3 linked regions of the Macaca mulatta genome follow. Each later gene encodes a partner of the first gene's protein in a complex. Links are inferred from orthologs where the notes say so. Each region holds a gene or a part of one and is shown on either strand. Other genes may lie near its edges.

Region 1 (5,272 bases):
AGGTAAAGAGCACATGATGAAGACAATCAGCATCACAGTTCACTGACATAGGCAAATGATTCATATATAAAGCTATGCGGTTATAATGACTTCCTTGGACTACGTGAATCAGAAAGGCTACTACCCATACCATTGACTTGACCAGAGACCTCTAGAGCGCTGGAATCCTAATGTCAGACATTATTTTGTATTTCTACTCGTGCAACAAAGCATCTCAACCATGTAGATGACTCAAATATGTCAAAATTCAACCCGCTGGCAAAGCTGACCAACAAGAAGCAGGCTCCTATTCAACAACCTCTTAGCACTAGGATAGTTGGGGACTAGTCATTTAACAACAAATTACTTCAAGTTGTTTCGCTGAACATCTCATCCTCCCAAGGTCACTTCGATAATATCAGGCATGTAGCAAATACTTAAGATTCTAACCACATTAATTTGTGTACAATGTATTCTTGCACTAACTTCCTTTCCAAATGGCATTTCCCCCGATCTAAAGGAGTGTGAAGGATATAGTTTCCTATTCTGCCAGGACAGGACACTTAAAAGGAGCCCTTTTCATACTTATTAAAGGAATATATTTACTAACAGAATCGATGCTATATCTCTTACTTTAAAGCATAATTTGAAGTGAAATTCAGAGTGACTGCTAATGAATATGGTGTTTCTTCTTGGGGTGATGACAATGTTCTGGAATTGGTGATGGTGATCAATGCACAACATTGTGAATATACTAAAAACCACTGAAATATATACACTCTAACAGGTGAATTTCATGTCAATTAAATTTCAATAAAGCTATTTTTAAAAACCAATAATTTGGAAAACAAAATAACACAACTCTGGTTCTTTACATAGGCTGACTGTGAGCTACTGCCAAAGGATTGTCAGTAACCCCTACTAGAAGCTGACATACCTTAACTAGGTAAAGCAATAAAACGTTGGTATCTCAAAGGTTTTCATCCCTCATCTTAAAAAAGTATCATTTTCTTATTTCTTCATTTCCACTTTACACCAAATAATAAGAAGCTCATTAATTAGTTCACTCTTTTCGTATTCTTTCAAATCCAAAACAAACGCTAAACTGTTCAGGGAGTGGAAAAGAGCTTTAACTTGGATAAATGAATTATTTTGAGTTTTAGGATCATATTTTGTACCAATGTGTTAACACAAGTTAGAACTTAAAACCAAACATTTCAAGTAAACATTTCCAAAATATTAGAAATATTTCTAATAAAACATTTATGTGGCTTTGTCCTCAATTTTTCACAAAATGAGTCACCAAAAACCTTTCAAATAATATTCACAAAATTATAAATGCAATCATTTTAGACCCCTACTGAAATACCAGTTTATGTGTGCCTGTGTGTGCATTACGTACATACACACACAGACACACATAAACTAGTACATACACAGAAACACACACCCCACAACCTACTTTAGTTTATTAATCATATTAAAAAAACATTTAGACAAGATTTTATTTTAGGACAGTGAATGACCTACACGTGATTCAAAAGCCCATGTCATCATAACAGATAATGTACATGAACTGATCATTTAGCCATCTGAAGCGACAGTTGCATGAAGCTTCCAAAACTTTATGGAGAACATTACAGTTTTTTTTAAGGCTTGAATTTAAATATTATCAATTACAAAGAGCTTTTCATCAATCCGACTTTTATTGAACACTTACTATATTCCAGGCTAGGTGGTGGAGAAACAGATGCAAGACAGGCCTGCCCTCAAGGAAGTCCCATTTTGATTGCTTGCTTTTGTCAGGCACAGCACTAAACATGTTCACTTAGAGCATCTGACCTCCTAGGTTTAACGTTAACCACAGCAGGGGAATCTGAGGTAACCATTACAAATGACTGTAAGGCTGCAAGACTGGAAAAAATAAAATTTAGAAATAAACAAAAGCTGTTGTATATTTAGACCAAATCTAATTCTACTTCCTAACATTACACTTGAACTTCCAGATATACTGCTTAAAAAATGACCCAGAACATAACCATACCTTCCTTAACAGACATCTCTTATGTAATTCTCTCATTTAAAGGTCCATCTATTATACTTCAGTCAAAGCATCCTCTTCCATGAAAGGATACCTTCCTTTACCTTCAAACCAAACCTCTTCATCTGGGTACGGTACCGAACAGTTGTTGAATGAATGAATGAATGAAAAAACATGTTCTAATTGCCAAAGAGGTATTTGCTGGATGCCTATCTCAAAACACAATGGACTGACGGACCAGAATTCTACTGGACAGATCGCTGAATTTCAGAGGTAAAAACGGTAATCACTGGACAATGCCATGTAGTTAACATGTTATTAAATTCGCAATAAAGACCAGGCGGGGAACTTTCAGAAATAAAAACGGAAAGTGTTCATCAGGGTACTTTAAAATGGACTTGGTTCTACCATCTCTGAATCCGGAACACAAATGTGAGACAAAGAGATGGGAGGGTGGGGTGAAAAAGTCAAAAGGTCACCACCGAGTGACCCTCAAGAGAAATGTGCGCTGACCACCGAAGCTCGGGCCAAGCTGGATGGACACCTCCCACCCGAACCACGGGCCTGGGCTGTGCCTCGCAGCCCAGAGCTGCAGGCCATCCCGGCCCTTTTCAGCGCTGCTGCCTGCCTTCGCCCAGAACCTGAGCACAAAGAAACCACCGAGAAGCAAAATACGGTCCCCATGGGCGCGGGGCAGGCTTGGGGACCCGCTGGTAGAAGCCCTCTTCCCGGCTCCTCGCCGCCCCGGAGGCAGCCAGGGTGCGGCGGGCCGCGGAGACGCCTCTGTCCGACCCTTGCCGAAGTGTTTCAGAACTTGCCACCCACCCCCCCGCTATTTTCTTCTCCCGCCGCGGAGGCAGGACCCGCGCGAAGAGGACGCGAGAGGACAGGCGGGCGGGGCTCGCCGCGGCGGGCGGGCTGGCGGGTAGCAGAGCGCGCCCAGGTCCCGCAGCCCCACGCCCCCTTGGCCGGCCCCCGCCTCTGCGCCGCTATTGTTCCCGCGCCGCCCCCGCCCGCCGCGCGCTCCCGCCCCCACTCCCGGGAGGGGGTTACGGCTGAGGAGAAGGCGGCGGCAGCGGCACAATAACATAAACACGACGGGGCCGCCTGCCGCCCAGGCCCTGCGGCATCCGCCGCACTCACCCGGCAGCGCAGCGAACGGCGACAGGGAAGCCCGCCAGCGGGGACAGGGGCGGTCCGAGCGGTCGCCGCGGCCGTTACCCAGGTCTGCTCGCCGCTCCGCGATCCTAGCCGCGTCGTCCAGCCTCGGCCGCTCCGCTGAGTAACAGGGACGCGGGCCGTCACCGCGCACGCCCGCCCACGTCATCGCGCAGGGCGCCGCCCCCGCGCCTCCCGAGTGGCCTGCGGGGCGGGGCAGCCCCGGGGCCCGGATTGCGGGGGCGGGGCCGCTGGCCGGGGGCGGGGCTACTCCACGGGGCTGAGAGAACTTGCGGAGGTCGCCTGGAGGCGGAGCCGCGGAGAGAGCCTCCGAGGGCAGTGGGTGAGGGGCGTGGCCAGGAGCGGGAGGGGCGGGCCCTGTGGTGGCACGTGGCGGCGCGTGGCCCCAGGGGACTGCATCTGGTTGGCGGCGGTAGCCAGGTCGGAGCTTAAGGCTTCGGGCCTCGTCACCACAGGGTTTGAAGGGCAGGTGAGCTTAGGCCAAACTTGCGCAGCGAACAGACACCCCTTCCTGGTACACACCTGAGTGATGAAGAGCTGGTTACCTTGACCGACAGTACGTTCCATGCTGAGGACACCTGTCCGGATCCCAGCAACCTACAGAGAGATAAGTGTTCTCTTCAGCTGCCCCGGTAAAGCTTCCTCCAGTTTTTCCAAAATCCACTTCCTCCGAGATTCCTTGCAAATCCACCTCTTCCCAGATTCCTTGCATTACCTGGTTTACCTCTGAGGCCCCACAAAACGTGTAAATGTTACAGAAGCGATAAATTGACAAGCCTTTAAATATCCAACAACAGGTGGAAAGGCGTTTAAGTTACCTACATCCATGCAGTAGAATACATTTTAGCAATTTAAACGCCATGTGTTCAAGGAATTCTTAACAACACAGGAAAATGTTAACAATATATCATTAAGAGAAAGAAGCAAGAAACAAGTCTTATATATAGAACGATCCCACTTAGTTACTATATATACACATAGAAAAAACCTGGAAAGAAATACACCAAATTATGTTAGCAATGGTTCGTCATTGGACTATGGAATAAAGGGTGACTTGGTTCTCTTTTATACTTTGGGTATTTTCTCATGTTTTCCAAGAGGAATAGTTATGTTCACAATCGGAAACAAGTAAGTTACTTTAATAAAGAATATATAAATATTTGTTGAATGAATGAATGATTTCAGGTAGACTACTTTCCTATTACATGTGGGGCTGGCCTCTTTCTGGTGATTCTAAAAGCGAACATACAGGTGATTATTCATTCATTCTCTTCCCATTTCCTCTTTTCCTCCCTCTCAACCTTCTTAATTTCCTTCCTTCCATCCTTTATTCCTGCAATAATTATTTATTGCAGGCCCATTCAGTGCCTAGCAGTACAATAGAGTTTACAGATTTAATCACTGTACTATGAAAGTAATAACAGTAAATGCAAAATTATCACTGTATTATAATACAAATTGTTAAGGATACATAATATTATGAAACTAACTAATACACTAGTTAGTAAGGCCAGAAAAGATTTCCCTGAGGAACTGTCCCTTGAGCTGGGAATAGGTTTGACTAGACAGAGAATATTTTAGAGAGAACTTTGCATGCGAAGGTCCTGTGATGAGATTAAGCAGGATAAGATGGAGAACTTCAGGAAAGGCCAGCTCTGCTGGAGGAGCAAGGAAAAAGGAGCTATGAGATGAAGTCAGGAAGATTGGTAAAGGGACCAAACATAGGACAGCCATATTGGCCGTGTTGAAAATCTTTTTATCCTAAGTGCAATGGGAAGCCCCTGACATATTCAGCAAAGAGTATGGCATGGTCAGAATAGCGTCTTGAAAATATTCCTTATTGGAAAGAGGCCAGGTGGATGTAGGAGTAGCCTAGACAGTAAAAGGTGGAGGCTTGATCTAGGGTGATGGTCATGGAAATAGCTGATGGACATGGAAAGATCTGTGAATTATTTAGGAGGTCCAAGGGGCAGAACTTGCACATTCTCCAAGTGATGGGTTATGTGGGGCAATGAAGAAGAGGGAGACATCAAGGAAAACTCAAAGGTTTCTGGCTTGTGGCCAAGGATGGAT
Region 2 (4,685 bases), on another chromosome or scaffold:
CTGTAGTCCCTGCTACTCGGGAGGCTGAGGCAGGAGAATGGCGTGAACCCGGGAGGCGGAGCTTGCAGTGAGCCAAGATCCGTCCACTGCACTCCAGCCTGGGCGACAGAGCCAGACTCCGTCTCAAATAAATAAATAAATAAATAAATAAAATTTTAAAAATAAATAAATAAATAAATATTATCCTTAGTTATAAGATCTGGACATTCTGAGTCATAAGAAATTACAAGTTGCATAATTTTAGTGTTCAGTGATTTGTCTGCTGGTGCTTTGAAAATTTTTCATTCATTTGTTGTATATGTGGTAACTGTTGTATATGTTTTAACTACCAAAATTAGATAGAATTTCCCATTTCCCAAGTGTGTCAGGTGATAGAGTTGTTTAATACAGGGTGAGCTTTTTTGGAGATGTCATTTATAGGATAAGTTTTGTGAGATGCAGGCTACTTGTCAGCCTTCCTGAAAGAGAAATGCGTATCTCTCCACTCTTCTCTTGGTCTGTGCTCCAGTAGATGGTGGGATAGGGGTGGATGGAATGAAAGCTTTAAATTAATGCTTTAGATCATTTGGGAATTTTCTTTTTAGTACGGCTAGTTGGAGAGTTGGCTATATGGGAAATAGATGAAATGCTGCTAATGTTGTGGAAAACACGTCACCGCTGTCTACCTTCCTAGGAGTAATTTACCAAACCTGTGTGGCTTGGCTTAGCCAGACCAAAGTGTCTACATTGAAACATTAGTTACACATTTTGTTTGCTTTTTTTAGGGGTATGAAATTATGTTGCTTTTTTTTTTTTTCTTTTCTTCAACTAGTTTCAACTCTCCATGTTTACTGTCTGCTGATCCTGAAAGAATTGTGACCATACTTTAGTCTGTGAGTGTCTAGAGAACGAAGTTGCCTAAATCAGACATGTCAGACTGAGGCATAACAGAATTACTCTTAAGAGCAATTAAAGTACTTTACTGCAAAATAAACATTTTCATTATTTTCCATTTTTAATGTTAGAGTTGTCTCCTTTGTGTGATCATAAAGCAACAGATTTTCTTTCCAGTATGGAGAGAAGAGAGAACTGTCCTCTACAGGTGAAGGTGTACTCTAGTTTTTCACATATATTCTAAAATAAGCAACTGAAAGGATTGTGTTTATGTTACAAAAAGGGAGTTTTGTTTTACAAAATAATTAAACTATGTGAGAACTACAAAAGAATGTAATGGCCAGGCATGGTGGCTCATGCTTGTAATCCGAGCACTTTGGGAGGCCAAGGCGGGCAGATCACCTCAGGTTGAGAGTTGGAGACCAGCCTGACCAACATGGAGAAACCCTGTGTCTACTAAAAATACAAAATTAGCCGGACAAATTAGCTGGGCGTGATGGCGCATGCCTGTGATCCCAGCTATTTGGGAGGCTGAGGCAGGAGAATTGCTTGAACCCAGGAGTTGGAGGTTGTGGGTGAGCGGAGATTGTGCCATTGCACTCCAGCCTGTGCAACAAGAGCAAAACTCCGTCTCCAAAAACAAACAAAAAACAAGAATTTAACTGCATAGTTCAAAACTGTGCAACCATATGAACTATATGCAGATTATTTAAAATATAAAAGTTAAATTTGCATATGACTTTTTAGAAAAATGTCTTCCATAAAGTAGAGCTTTGTATCAATATTATTTCTTTGTATAACCATGGAATCCATTCACAATATAGGGTGGGAGGGCAGTTCTCTTTGATTCTGCCTTCCTTGAAGGCGGCTCTGTCAATTGATAAATCTCTAGTGACTTGCTCCCTATTTAAATGAAGGCATGAGTGGAAAGGTCCTGTCTCTCACTGCAGGAAACCATCTTTAAAGTCATGGAATTGCTAAAAGGATAGGGATCTATTTTTAGAACTTTGGCCTTAAAAACATTTTAAGAATATCACTAAGCCACAGTAGAGTACTACTTTTATTATGTAAATATACTTCCATTTTAAGAAAATACTGTGATTTATAACTGATTGCATGGGTGAGAGGGAAGAAAAAAGAGTGACTAATTAGAATTGTTTAGTAGAGTTGTTATATGTATTTTATTTTGCTTAGCAGATTTTTCCCTCCCAAAATGGAATGGTGGTTCACGTTTGCTTTTACAGAAAATCGTATTTATGATTGGAATTGTGAAGGAGGTGCTCCTAAGGGAAAATGTTTTCATGGCTGAATTAGGATAAGGTGTTATCTAAATCAGGAATGCCTTAGAAGCTGTATGTACCACATGTTTTCTGTGTCGGAAGTAGTATCTATGTTTTTATTTGTAAACATGCATTCTTTTGGTTGGATTTATGGAAGACTAACAAACAGAAACATGGGTTTTTAGCATTGCGGTCTGGCTGCCTGTGCACCCACAGCTGTGGAGGCCAAGACGCTTCTCTGCCTGCAGAGACTGCCCATCCCTGTTTCTCAGCAGGCTGGAAGTGTCTGCGTATTTGTCTTCCTTCCTCTTAGCACAGATACTTCCAGAATAGGGGGCACAGTCATTCTTAGGTTCAGGTCCATGTTAGGGAAACACATATAGGTTACTATGACTCCGTTTTCTGCATTCCCAGATGATAAACAGCATAAAATTAGGAACAGGAGAAACTTGGCAAGATTGGACAGTGAGTCAAGTCTTCAGACAACTTTAAAAAATATGCGCAAATTTTTTCAAGAAGCTTATCAGTTTTTCGGTACTGCTTTTCACAGTAAATAGCGGATAATGGTCGATGTTATGTCTTGTAATGGAATCTAGCTTGGAGTCCCTGGGACAACAAAGTTATGACGAGGGCAGATAAGAGGACACTTCATTCTCTGTCTCCGTCAGCCATTTGGAGCAGAAAGTTTGCATGATTGAACTTTCCTTCTGAAGTAGATCTTATTTGTAAGAGAACTTATGAAAGGAAGAGGGACATTTTAAACACGTTTCAAAACTGAGTTGCTGGTGAGGCCACAGATAGTTTTCAGAGGTTCAAGGGAATCAGGCAGTGTCTCATCTGTTGTTAATTAATGAAACGAAACTGGAGTCACTAGAGTGCAGCAGTGAATGAAAGGTCAGTGAATGGAAAAAACTGTCAATGAAGGAGGATGTCAGCAGAGTGGAACATTGTCATAGATAAAGATCAGTGAAAATGTACTCTGGCCGAGGTGGTGTTTTCTGGAAGTGACTAGGAGCCAGTTTGGGACATTTCAAGCCAAACTGAGCACTAAATGAATGTTCTGATTGCAGCTAAATCTGTTAGATATTTTAAAATATTTGTTTGTTTGAATTTGTTCTAGATATCAGTTGAAAAAGCTTCTTTTGTTTTATAATATGTTTTACAGTGTAGTGTTGTTGTTATGTTTGGCTCTTTTGTTTTGAGGCTGAACGATGGTTTCTTTCTCTCCTTTGTTTCTGTTCTCTGTCTCAGAACTTTCTAGAGCCACATTTACTTTTGAGGTCCACTGAAGTCAAAGTGACATAGGATTACTGTACTAATTAACGCTAGAGCTGGACCTCAGACAGCCTGGCTGATGGCTCAGTTTATGATTATTGCAGAATTGCGTCTCCTCTGAAAGTTGTTCTGTAGGGGGTGACCTGAAAGCCAAGACATGGCCTCAACTTTACTACCAACTTGTGTAAATGGTCATGAACAAACCAGTGACCATATTTACATTTCAACTAGTTCATCTGTAAACTTTGTTATTGGTGTCGTGTGAAATTGCCTTTAAAGAGATTCTCCTTTCTCTGGTCTTGTCAGATCTTCTTTCTTCTCCCTCATTGAAGCCTTTGAGCAATATGGCTTTGGGGAAACAAGGCTCTTCCATCAGTTTGGGAAAGGACCATGGCCGTTTTAGCCTGGTCACAGCTGGGAGGCCAGGACCCCGTGAATATCATCAGCAATGTCCCTGCATCCAAGGGAGAGTTGAAGGTAATTCCACAGGATTTAGAAAAGTAGACTTATAACCTGGCTCTTCCAGTTATTATATTACGTGATTCTGAGCCTATATTATGTGATTCTGAGCCTTATCTATGAATGGGATTAGTAGTAATACCTACCTCATAGGGCAGTTATAAGAGTGTGTAAAATACCTATAGAGTGCTTAGAGCAGCGTTTGTCACACAGTAAGCGTTCAGTACGTTCTAGGATTACATACATTATAAAAATAATCATTTATAAGGTTAAAATGAAATTCAAGTGGCATTTCCTTGGATTCTGTGGTTTCTCTTTGAGAACATTTACTGGAATATTGTTTTGTTGGAAGTATGTATGTATTTTTTTGAGACAGAGTCTCACTTTGTCACCCAGGCTGGAGTGCAGTGGTGCGATCACAGCTCACTGCATCATCAACCTCCTGGGCTCAAACAATCCTCCCACCTCAGCCTCCCAAGTAGCTGGAACTACAGGAACACACCAGCATGCCTGGCTAATTTTTGCATTTTTTTTTTTTTTTTTTAATAGAGATGGAGTTTCTCCATGTTGCCCAAGCCGTTTTGTTGGATTTAAATGACAACCATTCCATGAACTATTTTAGAGCCAGAATAGAAAAATATATGAAGGCAGTTCTTTAGAGAAACACCAGAACTGGCAGGGTGCAGTGGCTCATGCCTGTAAACCCAGCACTGTGGGAGGCTGAGGTGGGGGGATCACCTGAGCCTACGAGTTTGAGACCAGCCTGGGCAACATAGGAAGGACCCTGTCTCTACAAAA
Region 3 (3,728 bases), on another chromosome or scaffold:
TAAAAAAGCCAGACAATTTGGCACACACCTATAGTCCCAGCTACTTGGGAGGCTGAGGCAAGAGGATCACTTGAGCCCAAGAGTTCAAGGCTGCAGTGAGCTGTGATTGTGCCATAATACTCCAGCCTGGGTGACAGGGAGACCCTATCTCAAATAAGAAAAAGAAACTTGTGGACATAGGTAGAGAACTTTCAAGATTACGGAATTGCCAAACAGCTGGTTTCTTTTAGCTTAGGTAGAGCTAGAAGTGGCTCTTTGAGTACACCATGGCTTTCTGTATCTCTCTAGTGCTTGTGATTACACCAGTCATTTTCTCCCCTCACCTAGAACTGGACATAGGTGCAAATATATCACATTGCTTTTACTAATTCTGAAAGTCTGTAGGTAAGCATTCATCCTTTATAATTTACTGTTTTCATTTTGAGTTGTTGCCTCCAGTATGTATTTACATTTCCTTATACCACTCATCACAGATCAGCCTCTTTATTTTTAAAAGCTGGTGTATCCCTTGAACTCAACATTCAGGGAAACGTCAGCCTGTTGTTCTTTTAAAGAATAGTGGTGGGCCGGGCGTGGTGGCTCAAGCCTGTAATCCCAGCACTTTGGGAGGCCGAGATGGGCGGATCACGAGGTCAGGAGATGGAGACCATGCTGGCTAACACGGTGAAACCCCGTCTCTACTAAAAGATACAAAAAATTAGCCGGGCGAGGTGGCGGGCGCCTGTAATCCCAGTTACTCGGGAGGCTGAGGCAGGAGAATGGCGTGAACCCGGGAGGCGGAGCTTGCAGTGAGCTGAGATCCGGCCACTGCACTCCAGCCTGGGTGACAGCGAGACTCCATCTCAAAAAAAAAAAAAAAAAAGAATAGTGGTGAAATAAACAAATAGAGCTTTTTAGTATTCCCTCCAGTTAAACTGTCATTGCCAGTGTTTTGTTTTCTTTGTACATGTAATGATTGGCTATTTTAATATCTGAATTATAAATATTTTATAACATTCATTATTGCTTGATCAGAAAAGTAGAGGGGAAGGGGGGCATTAGTTGAGAAACTACCCATTGGGTGCTATGTTCACTATTTCAGTGATAGGTTCAGTAGAAGCCCAAACTTCTATTGCACAATATACCCGTGTAACACACCTGCATATATACCATCTGAATCTATAATTTTTTAAGTATTCATTCCATTTTGTATGATTTTTAAAGGAATACTACTTCTGGTGGTTGGTTTTGTTGTTGTTGTTTTATTGTACCTTGAGGTCAAGTATCCAGGGGTATGGTTTTGATTTATAGCATGTTATAGAGAAGATGGGGTTCCATCTCATTAATGTATTTTAAAACCTGCTTTTCAAAAATGCATGGATTTGAGGCAGATGTTGAAAAATTCTGTAAAAACTTTATTTCAGAAAATGCACAAGATTAATAATTTTTTTTTAGCTAAAGTTGACACTCTCAGGTATCCCCCTCTGCATCTTCTACATTGCAAATCATAGGCTAAGTCCTGCTTCATAAGATATCCACAATATTTTTTACTAATTGACTTTCAGAATGGGCATCTGGCCATCAGTAAGCAGGCCAATACACATTCTCAGATTTGATTTTAAAAGCCTACTTATTGTCACTTCTGAACACTGAATAAAAAAAAGTTTTAATGCCAAGTGAAAAAAGCAAGGTTCCAAAGAGTACATCCAGTGTGATACTGTTTTTAAAATGTTTCAGAATAAACAGCTGAACTATGTTGCTTAGGGATACATACCTATGTGTTAAAACTACAAAGGAAAAACAAGAGAATGGTTAAAGAAATGTCAGAGTGGTGATTACCTTTGGTGAGGACAGGAACCTCCAGGAAGCAGAAGTGTTAATGGCAGTGTTCTCTCTTAGGTTGGCGGCACGGTTTCCAGGTGTTCATGTTATCATTGTTCCTCATAACTTACATATACTATAAATATTTGTGTGTTATCTATATCAAATTTTTACTAAATGAAATTACTGTATTCTGTTCTATTAAAATAAGGGTGTAAGACTTGTTCAGGTCTAAGTATTTGCAGATTTATTTTTGTAAATACTTAGAATGCCTTTTCCTGAGTATCTTTTCAGTTGCAATGTTTAGAGTTTTGTATGGATTTTTACTTGAATCCCAATTTATTCATGCAACTATAACAGCTGGTGGCATTTAGATTCTAAATATTGCTTATTCTCATATGTATGCATCATTAGAATCAGGTGTTATAATCATTCATGGCTGCAATAGATGGAAAATCAGCCAGAATAAATACAGTTCTGGAGAATGCAGAGGGAATAATTTGAAGATGTAATTTGTATGTAAGACTTCATTTTGTTTATGCATGTGGTTATAAATTTTTATCTTATAATAAGAATGACATGTAGGCCAACCAGACTGAGTTTGTTAAATGTGATACTTATATTTGATTGTATCTGTAAGAGCCTGTCTTCCAAACTCTACCTCATTTTCTTTCTTTAACACTATTTAGCAAATATTTCTTCAACTCTATTCCATAAGGCAGTGGGCACCCAGATGTTTCCATATGCATGGTTGTGCCTTCTTTTGACCTATTGCAGGTAAAATTGCCTACTTCATGACCTATATCAATTCCTGTAATACCAACTTGTCTAATCAGTTTTGTAAGATGCTTTCTAACTTTTTACTCCGTATATTGCCTCAGCATAATGGTGCATTCTTACAGATTTTAGGAAAATGAATAATTTTTCTTTTTTTCACCCAGCTGCTGATAAAGATGATAGTTCAGAAGACATTTCAGTGCCGAGTAGTCCACATACAGAAGCTATACAGCATAGTTCGGTCAGCACATCCAATGGAGTCAGTTCAACCTCCAAGGCAGAAGCTGTAGCCACTTCAGTCCTCACCCAGATGGCGGACCAGAGTACAGAGCCTGCTCTTTCACAGATCGTTATGGCTCCTTCCTCCCAGTCACAGCCCTCAGGAAGTTGATTAAAAACCTGCAGTACAACAGTTTTAGATACTCATTAGTGACTTCAAAGGGAAATCAAGGAAAGACCAGTTTCCATTTATGCGAAATCTGTGGTTGTAAATTTTTTTTTTTTTACTTGAAATTAAATTTGGCTCTAAAGTTGGTGTAGCAGCAGTTGATCAGACTGAAAAACAGTTTTTAGTCTCTGGAAAAAGACTGATTTTGCTTTTTTTATAAATATTAGTAGATTTATTAATTTTTCTGTGCTCAATGTGTAAATTGTATTATAATTCATTGTGGTTTATTTCACTTTTAATTTGTTGGTGTTTTAATAAATGGGGGTGTTACTGAATCTTTCTTCCCACTTCCATTTCTTTTGACCACCCCTTAACCCTCAACTGTGATGGTAGTAGTATTATCATTTATACCAAAGTTTTGCATAGTCCCTGTTGACTTTGTAATGTTAACGGAGTCATAAAAGCACTAGGCAAGAGAAAGATAGAAATTTGCTTTTAATCTTTTTGCCTTTTATTTTGCACATTATGCAAAAGGAAAAACATTAAAGAACACTTTTTTTTAAGTGAGTGAAAACATGGTAAAGACATACAGTGCTTTTATGCACATTGTTAAGCTAAATCAAGGTCATTTATAATCATTTTCCTTTTTTATTTAAGGTTTTAAGTAAACAAATTTTAGAATTTTCAGCATTTCAAAAATGATTTTATTTTTCAAGTCTTAAATTCAATATTTTACACCTGTGTTTTGAGGCTAAGAAATATG

What was found.
Region 2: the proteins of MAPK8 (region 1) and DUSP16 are in contact, whole or in part, in a crystal structure (PDB 4YR8), measured with the Homo sapiens proteins. The link is inferred for Macaca mulatta from reciprocal best matches to the Homo sapiens genes MAPK8 and DUSP16. Residues at the interface, in NP_001310257.1 of Homo sapiens: Arg189, Val196, Ile197, Leu198, Gly199, Asp229, Ile231, Trp234, Gln253, Thr255, Val256, Thr258, Tyr259, Val260, Asn262, Arg263; in NP_085143.1 of Homo sapiens: Phe215, Leu267, Asp268, Tyr271, Lys275, Pro279, Ile281, Ser282, Pro283, Asn284, Phe285, Asn286, Leu288, Gly289, Gln290, Leu292, Asp293.
Region 3: the proteins of MAPK8 (region 1) and ATF2 are in contact, whole or in part, in a crystal structure (PDB 6ZR5), measured with the Homo sapiens proteins. The link is inferred for Macaca mulatta from reciprocal best matches to the Homo sapiens genes MAPK8 and ATF2. Residues at the interface, in NP_001310257.1 of Homo sapiens: Asp112, Ala113, Gln117, Val118, Met121, Glu126, Arg127, Tyr130, Leu131, Tyr133, Val159, Lys160, Ser161, Asp162, Cys163, Val323, Trp324, Asp326, Ser328, Glu329; in NP_001243019.1 of Homo sapiens: Phe36, Val44, Lys48, Met51, Thr52, Leu53, Lys54, Phe55, Gly56, Pro57.

What each region holds. Positions count from the first base shown.
Region 1 is NC_133414.1:60,852,525-60,857,796, forward strand, and holds the start of MAPK8 (mitogen-activated protein kinase 8), read right to left. Parts: upstream 3,308-5,272; 5' UTR 3,164-3,307; intron 1,894-3,163; exon of another isoform or gene 1,700-1,893; intron 1-1,699. UniProt on the Homo sapiens protein: Serine/threonine-protein kinase involved in various processes such as cell proliferation, differentiation, migration, transformation and programmed cell death.
Region 2 is NC_133416.1:14,928,009-14,932,693, reverse strand, and holds part of DUSP16 (dual specificity protein phosphatase 16), read left to right. Parts: intron 1-3,734; coding exon 3,735-3,905; intron 3,906-4,685. UniProt on the Homo sapiens protein: Dual specificity protein phosphatase involved in the inactivation of MAP kinases. Dephosphorylates MAPK10 bound to ARRB2.
Region 3 is NC_133417.1:80,008,071-80,011,798, reverse strand, and holds part of ATF2 (cyclic AMP-dependent transcription factor ATF-2), read left to right. Parts: intron 1-2,741; coding exon 2,742-2,968; 3' UTR 2,969-3,728. UniProt on the Homo sapiens protein: Transcriptional activator which regulates the transcription of various genes, including those involved in anti-apoptosis, cell growth, and DNA damage response.